Linked DNA regions of Drosophila melanogaster. The protein of the gene in region 1 interacts with the protein of each later gene in a pairwise test. Each region holds a gene or a part of one and is shown in the gene's direction. Other genes may lie near its edges. The genes, in order: CG33110 and Rab6.

Region 1 (5,139 bases):
GAGCGTGGCCAATCCGCATTCAACCGTTAGCCGTGTTGGTAGTGGCCAACGTCATCCTTGCCGGCTTTGGATACAGATTCGAATACGTCGGCCCCAAACATGGCCAAAATAATCAAGCCAAGCAAAGGTCGAACTGGCCGGGCTGAACTTCAAAGAACCATTTACTAGGCACTCAATGCGCTCGGCGTTAATTTGTCGCAAAACGCAAATGGTTCTGTATGGAACTAAATGGCATAATTACGGGTAATATACCCCGGCGAAGGCTTCGCTGCACGTCCGATAATTTACACAACTTAACGACGAACATAACCCAGTGGCTTTTGCCTTCGATCTCTATGGATTTACACACGTCTCATTTATCTGCGGATTGATCGTGTATCTAAGGCCATCTGCGATTGGACACCTTGACACGTTTATCACTCCCTAGATCTTCTGGATTCTTGGCATCGTTCTAACTGCCCGAGAATTTATTTAGCATATCAGCAAATAGGCCCCGAATCAACACCTCCAGGGCCGATTAGCCGAGAACAGGTTATTTTGCTTGTAAGCATGAATGGGAATTACAAATAAACATCGTCGGCTGAGGTCATTGGAAGACAAGCCGGAAGTCCAGGAACCAACATAGCTCAAGCCTTTAATTTAGTTTGTCACAATGTAAGGCACTTGCACATTAAAGATGCCATTAAAAACTTGTTTTAATTGTACGTGCTTCGCTGGTGGACAACTAGTTTGGCTCCTTAGATAATTAATAAAAAAAAAAATATTATGCGAATTACAAACAATAGAGTTGATTACACTTTAGAGCTGATCTTAGGTGAAAGAGGAGCTGTGGATCCCTATGCTTCAACCGGATTAATTTTATAGTGAAAAGGGGTCTCGTTGGCAGGTTAATAAATCCGTTTATTAATATGCCACACGTAAAGGTTTTAGCAATTATAGGCAATAATCTTATAGTACTCGCTTTTATAGCTTACTTTGCAATTGAAGGGATTAATAAAAATCACAATTATTATAACGCTTCGATTAATTTTATGATTAAGTTGTAATTGTAAAGTTATGCATTGCACTTGTCTTATATTTTATTTAGGTGAATACGATTTTTGTGGTATAAAAATAATCTTAACAAATAAATCACATTTTAAAGCCTATGTAAAATTAGAATTAATTGTGAATAAAATCCGTTAATAAATTTTCAATTGTTTAATTGTGTAAAAATATTTTTTTTATGTTACAAATTTATTTACAAATTGGAAATTTCTGGAAGTTTAAGTTTTACCTAAAAACATATAACAAATAAGTAAGTAGTTTATTAAAGTTAGCATGCAATAAACGCATTACTGAATTTTTTAACTACTTACTTTCTTAGCTTAAACTTATAATTAACTAAAGAGTAAAATTTCATTTCGCAGCTAGATAAATTTCAAATTGCAAACAGCAAAGAGCCGAAGAGTTCAGCCACATCGTAGTGCATTGACCTATAAAAAGTTGAATTCACCCGGTGTCTCGAACCACCGGCAACAAAATCATCGGCATTCAATGTTGAATGCCAAACGGAACATGCTAAAAATCGAAAAAACTCGAATGCGACTCAGTGGGCCAAGCACACACAGATACTCACACACATACTCACACACATGCGAGTAATGGGGGTTTGTGGCCAACACAGATGTAGAAAAAATTGCATGCACTGCGGCGCCAACTGAACGAAACTTCCGTTGTTCTATGGCTCTTTTCGGGGGATTCGCCATTCGTTGAGTTGCCGAAGTCGGGCTCTATCTGTTATTGGGCATTTGTAGTTGTACTTGTGAGCCAGCCAAGTATTTTGCACAAGCGTCGCGATCGCAGCCGCTCAGCCTCTGCCACCGATTCTGCCGCTGCTCTGCTCGGCTGGCGCTGCGAAAAAGTTACTTTATCTTGTGATTGCTGAGAAGTTTTAGATTCAGTTGAGCATAAACATTCCTAAGGTGTGGTGGTAGAATCCAGCCAGATCTGCGCGTCTATATCCAATACGAATTGGGCAATAATAAATTAAACAGCGAATACAGCGAGTCGAAAAGTGATTTTTCTGAGCGTGTGCAGTCAATAAAGTGCTTTCGATCGGCCCGAGCGCAGTATGCAACATCCTGCGGCGAGCCTCTGACCAAACGAACTGAACGTATAAAACGCACAAAAAAAAAAACGCCCACCGTTTTGGATACTTCAAGTTTTAGGCCAAGGATAAGCCTGAGGATAACTGAGAACCCATATCATCATCATGAGTATGAACTACCACAACTACAACAGCAGCTCGCGATTCGAAATGGTCGTGGAGATAGCCAATATCGCGCTGGATGAGTTCAAGACCCATCACATAACGCGCAACTATACGGGCCTCGTGCAGCGCTACTACCAGCTGGTGGAAGAGGATTACGGCGGTAGGTGTCAAGTGTTCGGGTGCTTTTCGAATATCTGGTGCATTAGCCGACTTAATTATAAATCCATAAAAATGACGAATTGCCATGAAATTGTCATTTTTTATGGCCTACAAATCGTAACACAAAACCTAAATGCCAAACAAAACGAACACGAGATGGCAAAGAAAAAATGTTAAAAAAAAAAACCACACAAAAAAGAAAAGTAAAAAGACAAAGCCAAAAGTTGAGCCAAAAAACTTCTAGGACAATTAAAAATGATTTCTTGTGTGCGTTTGTGTGTGCGCGCTCTTTAAATTGCGACCTTGGCAGTGTCAATTGTATTTTTGACAATTATTAACGTAATTAAAATGTATTTACATTGCTTATCTTAGACATTTTTATGATGCGACCGTCGCCATCGACGACTTTGGTTTTGCTTTTGGTTTCGCCGTGTGCAGCTGAGCATGTATTTATTAAGTACAATAGCAGCCGGAGCACTTCGAACATGCCAATTGCCTCTGGGGTCTGCCCATGAGTTCCGTTTCCAGAGGTACCCCATATTCACATATACACTTTCCTGGCAATGCGAAAAGTCGGCGGTGAAAGGTCAATGGCAGGCAGTTGCAATTAAAAGCAGTGCAAATAGAGTTATTTTTTCGGTGGCTTAGTGATACTAAAGCGGGTTTAAGAAGATTACTTAGTGCCAAAATCACGCTTACGAAGCAAAAACGTTCGGGGGTTTTTTTGGCCATAGACAAAAGACTTAGAACACAAACTTGAAAAAAGTAACAGTTCCGGTCCGTGAGCGAAAGACTTAGGACACGAACTTGACGCACAAATTGGGAGAAAACTCGAGACTTTTTTATGTTAGTGCTATGCAAATTTATTAAAAACAAAATATATATTAAAATATATATATATATACAAAATATATATTATTATATTATATTAAATATATATTAACGAGATATATTAATTTTATGATACATGAAATATAAAGGTTTTTTTTTTAATCTTAATTTGTAGCATATTTTACATCATAACAAAAAATGTAAAGCAGTGTACAGACAAATATTTATAGACATAGAAATATGAATTTTCTCTAGTTTTTGTATATTATATTTTAGCATCTTAATATTTTAGTAGAAGCTTCTGTTTGACTTAGTAAACTAAGTTATCCAAATGACATTGAGGCCCAGAATAGAACCAACTGCTCAGTGCAACAGGTCAAGAATTCCCGGCATAAAAGTGATCCCAAGCAGCCAATGGAATATTTGTAGTAAACAACTATTTGCTGGCAATATCGTCGAACTGGATGATAAATCATAACTATTGTAGTAAACAAGCAGTGTTATGGAAAAGTTGGTCCATTTAGAAATGCAAAGCCCCTTGCAATTAATTACCATATCATTTCTGTGGGGTTTCTTTAAATTACCGGGCTATGACGTCGATGTTTACTAAGATATGGAATAATTCCCTAACCGGCATGCCAGCCTCGCATATTTTACTATTATTGCTCAGTGTAGAGGCGATTGTGCTGACACTTTAAACGCTACAAGTGACAAGTTGACTTTATATTTAGCCACGATTTCATTCAGCTGGCATGGATTGAATGGCTTGGCTGAAACTAATTAAATGCAAATCGAAGCTGTTTCGTACCGTCTCTGCATTAGCATAGGCAAAACGTATAGCAAATGAAATGAACAACGAATGGTGGTAATTAATTAGGATGTTTTGCGTCTAAATTTTACAGATCCGCGAGCAAAGCGCTTCCCGCTGATGGAGCACCCAATGTTCACCTTTGGCATGGTGGCCGTCTACTTATCCTGGGTCCTGGTCATTGGACCATTGTTCATGCGCGATCGCAAGCCTTTCCAGCTGCGCCGCACCCTGGTCGTCTACAATGCCTTCCAGGTGGCCCTCAGTGGGTATATGTTCTACGAGGTGAGTTCGAATCTAGAGATTAGCATATAGCCTAAGGTTCGTCCAACTGATATCATTCCCTTTTCGGTTTCTCACAAATAGCACCTAATGGCAGGCTGGCTGAACTACTACAATCTGAAGTGCCAACCGGTTGACTACTCCGATAGTCCCAGTTCCAAGCGGGTAAGTGGTCGCAACCGGTCATCTAAGTTCTGAATTAAATTCACTGTCAGATCGAAACTCGCTCATCTCCAATCAAATTTCTATTTCGAGAGGCACGCGTGGACTTAAGGAGTTTATGGTCTCTTTAATATGATTCGGCATTTGTCATTTGACCGGTTGATAGTTGGTTGTTGGTCGGTCTTTGTTTTCGCCTCACCTTGCCGGGTTCATCTTCCGCAGTTGGCTAGCAAGTTCGTTGCCTCTGTTTTGTGATGACTCACTGACTCCGGCAGACTCGAGAGTCATTTAGTTCGGCTCAAAGCCACTTTTTTGACCAGTCATAGAGCAGATACGAAAACAACCACAAATAAAGTGTTTTTAATTATGTCTCCGCGACAGCACAAAGTTCACATTCAAATTTTAGTGAGCTCGGCAATTAAATGGTCAGCTTCTTAATCCAAATTCTACCTTTTATGGCTTTTCAAGCAGCCATTTGTTACGCCTGTCCATCGATTGTATTCCCCTTTCCCAGGCCACACAGCAAAAACAATTAATGGCAATTTGAAGTTAAATGCACAATTTTAATCCAATTTGTTTTTGCACCACAAATGGGTCTTAAATGCTAGCAGATTTGTAACAAAAGCTGAAACCAACTTACCGA
Region 2 (4,610 bases), on another chromosome or scaffold:
GCAATAGTGAGTTCCTCCGTACTGCATGGACACTATATACGGAGCACTATTGGCCGCCGCCGCTTTTCCACCCACAACGCGTCCTTCGGGTTGGTCCAAGGCTAATCCAGATCCTTGGGAAACGCACACCGCCAGCAGGAGGATAGTGGCCAGGTGGCGATGGCGCCACATGGTTTGTTGTCCATTCGCAATCATGGTTTTCACAGAACTGTTTACATTGGCACTATCGACGGCTTTTTAAATTAATTCGTGATAAAAAATTTCATGCGAGCCAACCGAGAATATGATAAGAACTTTCAATCAGAGCCCTTGTCTTTCAGATAAGAGCCTATTATAACTTAAGATTATACGATTTTATATATATATATTTCTCTCTTGTTATGATAGACTCAGTCAACAATGAGAATAGATGCAAAAGGGTGTTGAGGGCAATATCTCAAGTTTGTCATTCTGTATTTTCGAGGGGATCCCCGTCCATTGATAAGGAAAATATTATAAATATAATATCTATAAGACCATTGTTAAAAAGGTTAGTTCTGGTAAGAAATGTTTAGATTTTGAAACCATAGTCTCAACATTATTTACTTAACTCACATATTTCACAATGATTCGGTTCGTTATTCTGTTATTGTGCAATGTAAGAAATTGTTATTTACAGCCCGAAAATATGTGAAGCATATAAATCTGTTCGTTGGTTGCTCACCGTGTTCCTCTCTCTTTACGAGATAAGATAAACTTTAAAAAACAGCTCGTTGTTTGATATAGTAGCTGTGATGCGAAGGAAAGTCCCACATTTAAGTGACCGCCACTAGGGACACACATTTGATTGCTTTTATTGAAAAAATAGGGAAAAACTCGACTATTTAGGACACCTGCTGGTTAGCCGATATCCACGATATAAACGACGAGACCTGCACGTAAACCGACGGTGAGTTGGCCTGACCACAAGGTAACTTGCCCCAGGACACGATGCCAATAAGGACATTGCCCTGGACCAGTGGTCCGCCCGAATCCGAGGTGCAAATGCTAACGCCGCCAGTTAGAGGACCAGTGCACAGATTGGTCGAGTGGACATCGCTGCCCTTGGTGCCCAGGGCGCTTTCGCAGGAGCTCAGCGAAATGATAGGCACATTGGTGGCCACCTGCAGGGTCGACGGATAGGAGGCGGTATTCGTGGTGCTAGTGCTGCCCCATCCGTACAGATTGGCGGTGCCAGTGGGCACCACTCCCGAGGATGGTAGCGTCACTGGGGCAACGGCGGCGCTCCAAACGAAGGCGGTGGGCGTGTAGATCATTCCGATGTCATAGGGCACAGTTCCGCCGGTGTACAAGTCATTGATCACGAAGTACGTGATGCTCCGCGTCTGCGTAGTGCTTGCAGTTCCGTCCACCGCGATGCTTCCGGCCACCAAGGTGCTGCCCAGCACCTGGTTACTATTGGTCAGGCAGTGGGCAGCGGTGACTAGCCAGTTGGCATTCAGAATGCTGGCGGCACAGTAATGGGTGCCACCGTACTGCATGGACACCGCATAGGGAGCACTATTCACCGCTGCCGGAGATCCACCCACGACACGCCCCTCGGGTGCGCCGATAGCCACTCCGGATATTCGGCATATGCCCAGTAGGAGAAGAAGCCCACTGGCCAACGACTTTGTTTGCTGTCCGTTCGCTAACATAGTTTTCGCGGAACTGTTTACATCGACCTTTATCGCGGCACGTTTAAATTAATTCGCCATTCCAAAATTTTGCCAGCGCCAGCAGATAAGGCTTTCAATTAAGGACCGTGTGTTCTTCAGATAACCACTTATTATAATTTGAGATTAAGCGACGCCCGAACAGTGACTCTTTGACAGAAGTACGTCAAGTTCCACCGATAGGATGGGCAAATACCTACGCTCGTTTATCTAAAAACAAGCAAATCACTTTAGAGAGCTTTATATTTGAAAATCGCGTTATCACCTGTTAGTATTTCTTACACTTAGTATTCACTTTTTAATATGAAATAAAAAGTTAAGCAATTACCTTGTACTTCATCAGTATTTAAACATTTTAAGCAGGTAAATTTTAGTTAAAATTATTTAATAACGGTAACGAATATCAATCGATTTTTTTTTAAATCATAAAACATCGATTTAGTACAAATATGCGTTTATCGATAGCGTGGCAGAGAAATTGCTTTTGATTGCCACTCTGGTCACACAGCAACTGACTCAGAAGTTAAAGAAGAAGAAGCAGAGACCGTAATTTTTCCACGACTCAACCTAGCGATTTACCAAGCCATTCGAGCCGCAATTGAGTCTTTAGCCAGACGGAAAGCATTTAGAGCGTGTGTAATAGAGTGCGGCAACTTGAAAGCGGTGCATCCCGAGAAATCGCAGTGCGAAAGGGCCCCGAAAACCGCTGGCCCAGCCCCATTATAAACAGTGAGGAGGGGTGGAGATTGGTGAGAGCGGAGCGGAGCGAGAAGAGAGTTCAGCAAACCCGTAATTAAGAAAAAGTAGACACGTACGTTGAGGAAGATGTCATCCGGAGATTTTGGCAATCCGCTGCGGAAGTTCAAGCTCGTCTTCCTCGGCGAGCAGAGTGTGGGCAAGACCTCGCTGATTACGCGCTTCATGTACGACAGCTTCGACAACACGTACCAGGCGACGATCGGAATTGATTTCCTATCGAAGACCATGTACCTGGAGGATCGCACTGTGCGCCTGCAGCTGTGGGATACGGCGGGACAGGAGCGATTCCGCTCGCTGATACCCTCGTACATACGCGACTCCACGGTGGCAGTGGTCGTTTACGATATCACCAACACCAACTCGTTCCACCAGACCTCCAAGTGGATCGATGACGTGCGCACGGAGCGGGGTAGCGACGTCATCATCATGCTGGTGGGCAACAAGACGGATCTCTCCGACAAGCGTCAGGTGTCCACCGAGGAGGGTGAGCGCAAGGCGAAGGAGCTTAACGTGATGTTCATCGAGACAAGCGCCAAGGCCGGCTACAATGTGAAGCAATTGTTCCGACGGGTGGCCGCGGCACTGCCCGGCATGGATTCCACGGAGAACAAGCCCTCCGAGGACATGCAGGAGGTTGTGCTAAAGGACTCACCCAACGAGACAAAGGATCCCGAGGGCGGCTGCGCCTGCTAGAACCGGTTGAGCCGACGATCCAACCATCCTCTCCCCCTTTTTCAACAGCAGGAGCAGATGCAGATGCAGGAGATCGGCCAGCAGCACTGGTGTACACAGGTGTCAGGTGTATGTACTGGCCGGATCTGCGGCGGATTCCTCAACATCTATACACACATACACACTTTACGTTTAAGTTTATTTATAAAGTAACAAATGATAGCAAAGGCAAATAGACTAAACAACAATTAACGAAATCGGCTAACTAATTACTGTTAATTGACGAGCTAATCCCGAGCGCAGGCGAGTGCGAATGCTAACTCATTGACACGAGATCAGGGATCAAGATCAGAGTAATATTTGCGAGTTAGCTACCAGACAAGAATATAGTGTAGTGCATTTCCGATACCCCCTAAACCCTCTAAACGAAAAAAAACCCAAGACCATGTACTTATGTCAGGCCAGGCGGTCCCAGGATCCTCCGACATTCCAGCTCTCGGCATCTCCAGCAGTCGTAGATACCACGCAGCCAGTCTGTGTTCAATGATTCCACCAGCCAGGCATTTTGTTTCCAATTTTAGCCCCCGTTCTGTTCTGTTTGCGGCTTTTGTTTCGCCAGTTTTGGTTAGGATTTCGGTTTTTTTTTTAGCACAGCGAACGCGACTGCTAACTGGAACTGTGGATGGCATAGGACTTGGCCACGTGCATCTTATGAATAAATATACACAAATATAAAATATGTATTTTTATGACTAAAACTGAAACAGATAAGCAGAGCACGAGCAGAGCAAACACTTAACAATATTATTAACGATTTTTGCTTCGATTAGCGAGAGAACTTTGTGCATTTTTTACGCGAAAAGCAAAAGCTTACAAAATTGATAATTGAATAAAAACATAAACTATTGATGCAATTTTTAATAAATCAAATTATGAAAATGAAAAGTATACAAGATACTAGCAATAAATTAATACAAAAAAATAAATTCAAAACATGACTCATACGTTGTGGGTGCACGCACACCTTTCCCAAAAAGTTTTCCGCCAAATGTGGGCCGACTTATCTTATCATTCCAAATCGTTCCTGAATGGACTACAGCGCACCTCTGTGTCGGCATGACTAGTCCTCAATTGCTGACAAATTCCACTGATTCGTCAAGAAACTGGAGTGAAATAGGCGGCTTAAGGTGGATCAGAAAAATACGATTTTTAGTTGGGGAAGCTTAATAATCGTATATTGAATCGAATTGCTTTTATTTGATTGCATGCTCTTCTCTTCTATTTGAAACACCTTAAAATGTGTTTGGATTTGGTTTTTTATTTGTGAATTCCGGTTTCGTAAGCGTAAATACATAGAAAGAACAAAAATGCGTACTTGCTTTGCTATGCAAATGTTAAGTATACTTTTGATAAATAGTTCGAAATAGAGTCTTAGAAGCTGTCCTCGTTGGCGATGAATTCGTCGCGAATCTTTTGCAGCTTTGT

The links.
Region 2: the proteins of CG33110 (region 1) and Rab6 interact in a two-hybrid assay, tested with the Drosophila melanogaster proteins (one large-scale study listed by BioGRID).

What each region holds. Positions count from the first base shown.
Region 1 is NT_033777.3:22,568,249-22,573,387, forward strand, and holds the start of CG33110 (uncharacterized protein), read left to right. Parts: upstream 1-1,939; 5' UTR 1,940-2,254; coding exon 2,255-2,414; intron 2,415-4,146; coding exon 4,147-4,337; intron 4,338-4,418; coding exon 4,419-4,499; intron 4,500-5,139.
Region 2 is NT_033779.5:12,106,709-12,111,318, reverse strand, and holds Rab6 (Rab6), read left to right. Parts: upstream 1-2,202; 5' UTR 2,203-2,519; coding exon 2,520-3,146; 3' UTR 3,147-4,098; downstream 4,099-4,610. Other genes in the region: Phae2 (phaedra 2), read right to left, coding at 1-171; Phae1 (phaedra 1), read right to left, coding at 864-1,676; ThrRS (Threonyl-tRNA synthetase), read right to left, coding at 4,557-4,610. UniProt on the Drosophila melanogaster protein: Protein transport. Regulator of membrane traffic from the Golgi apparatus towards the endoplasmic reticulum (ER). Mediates membrane trafficking during egg chamber growth and organization, possibly upstream of exocyst component Sec5.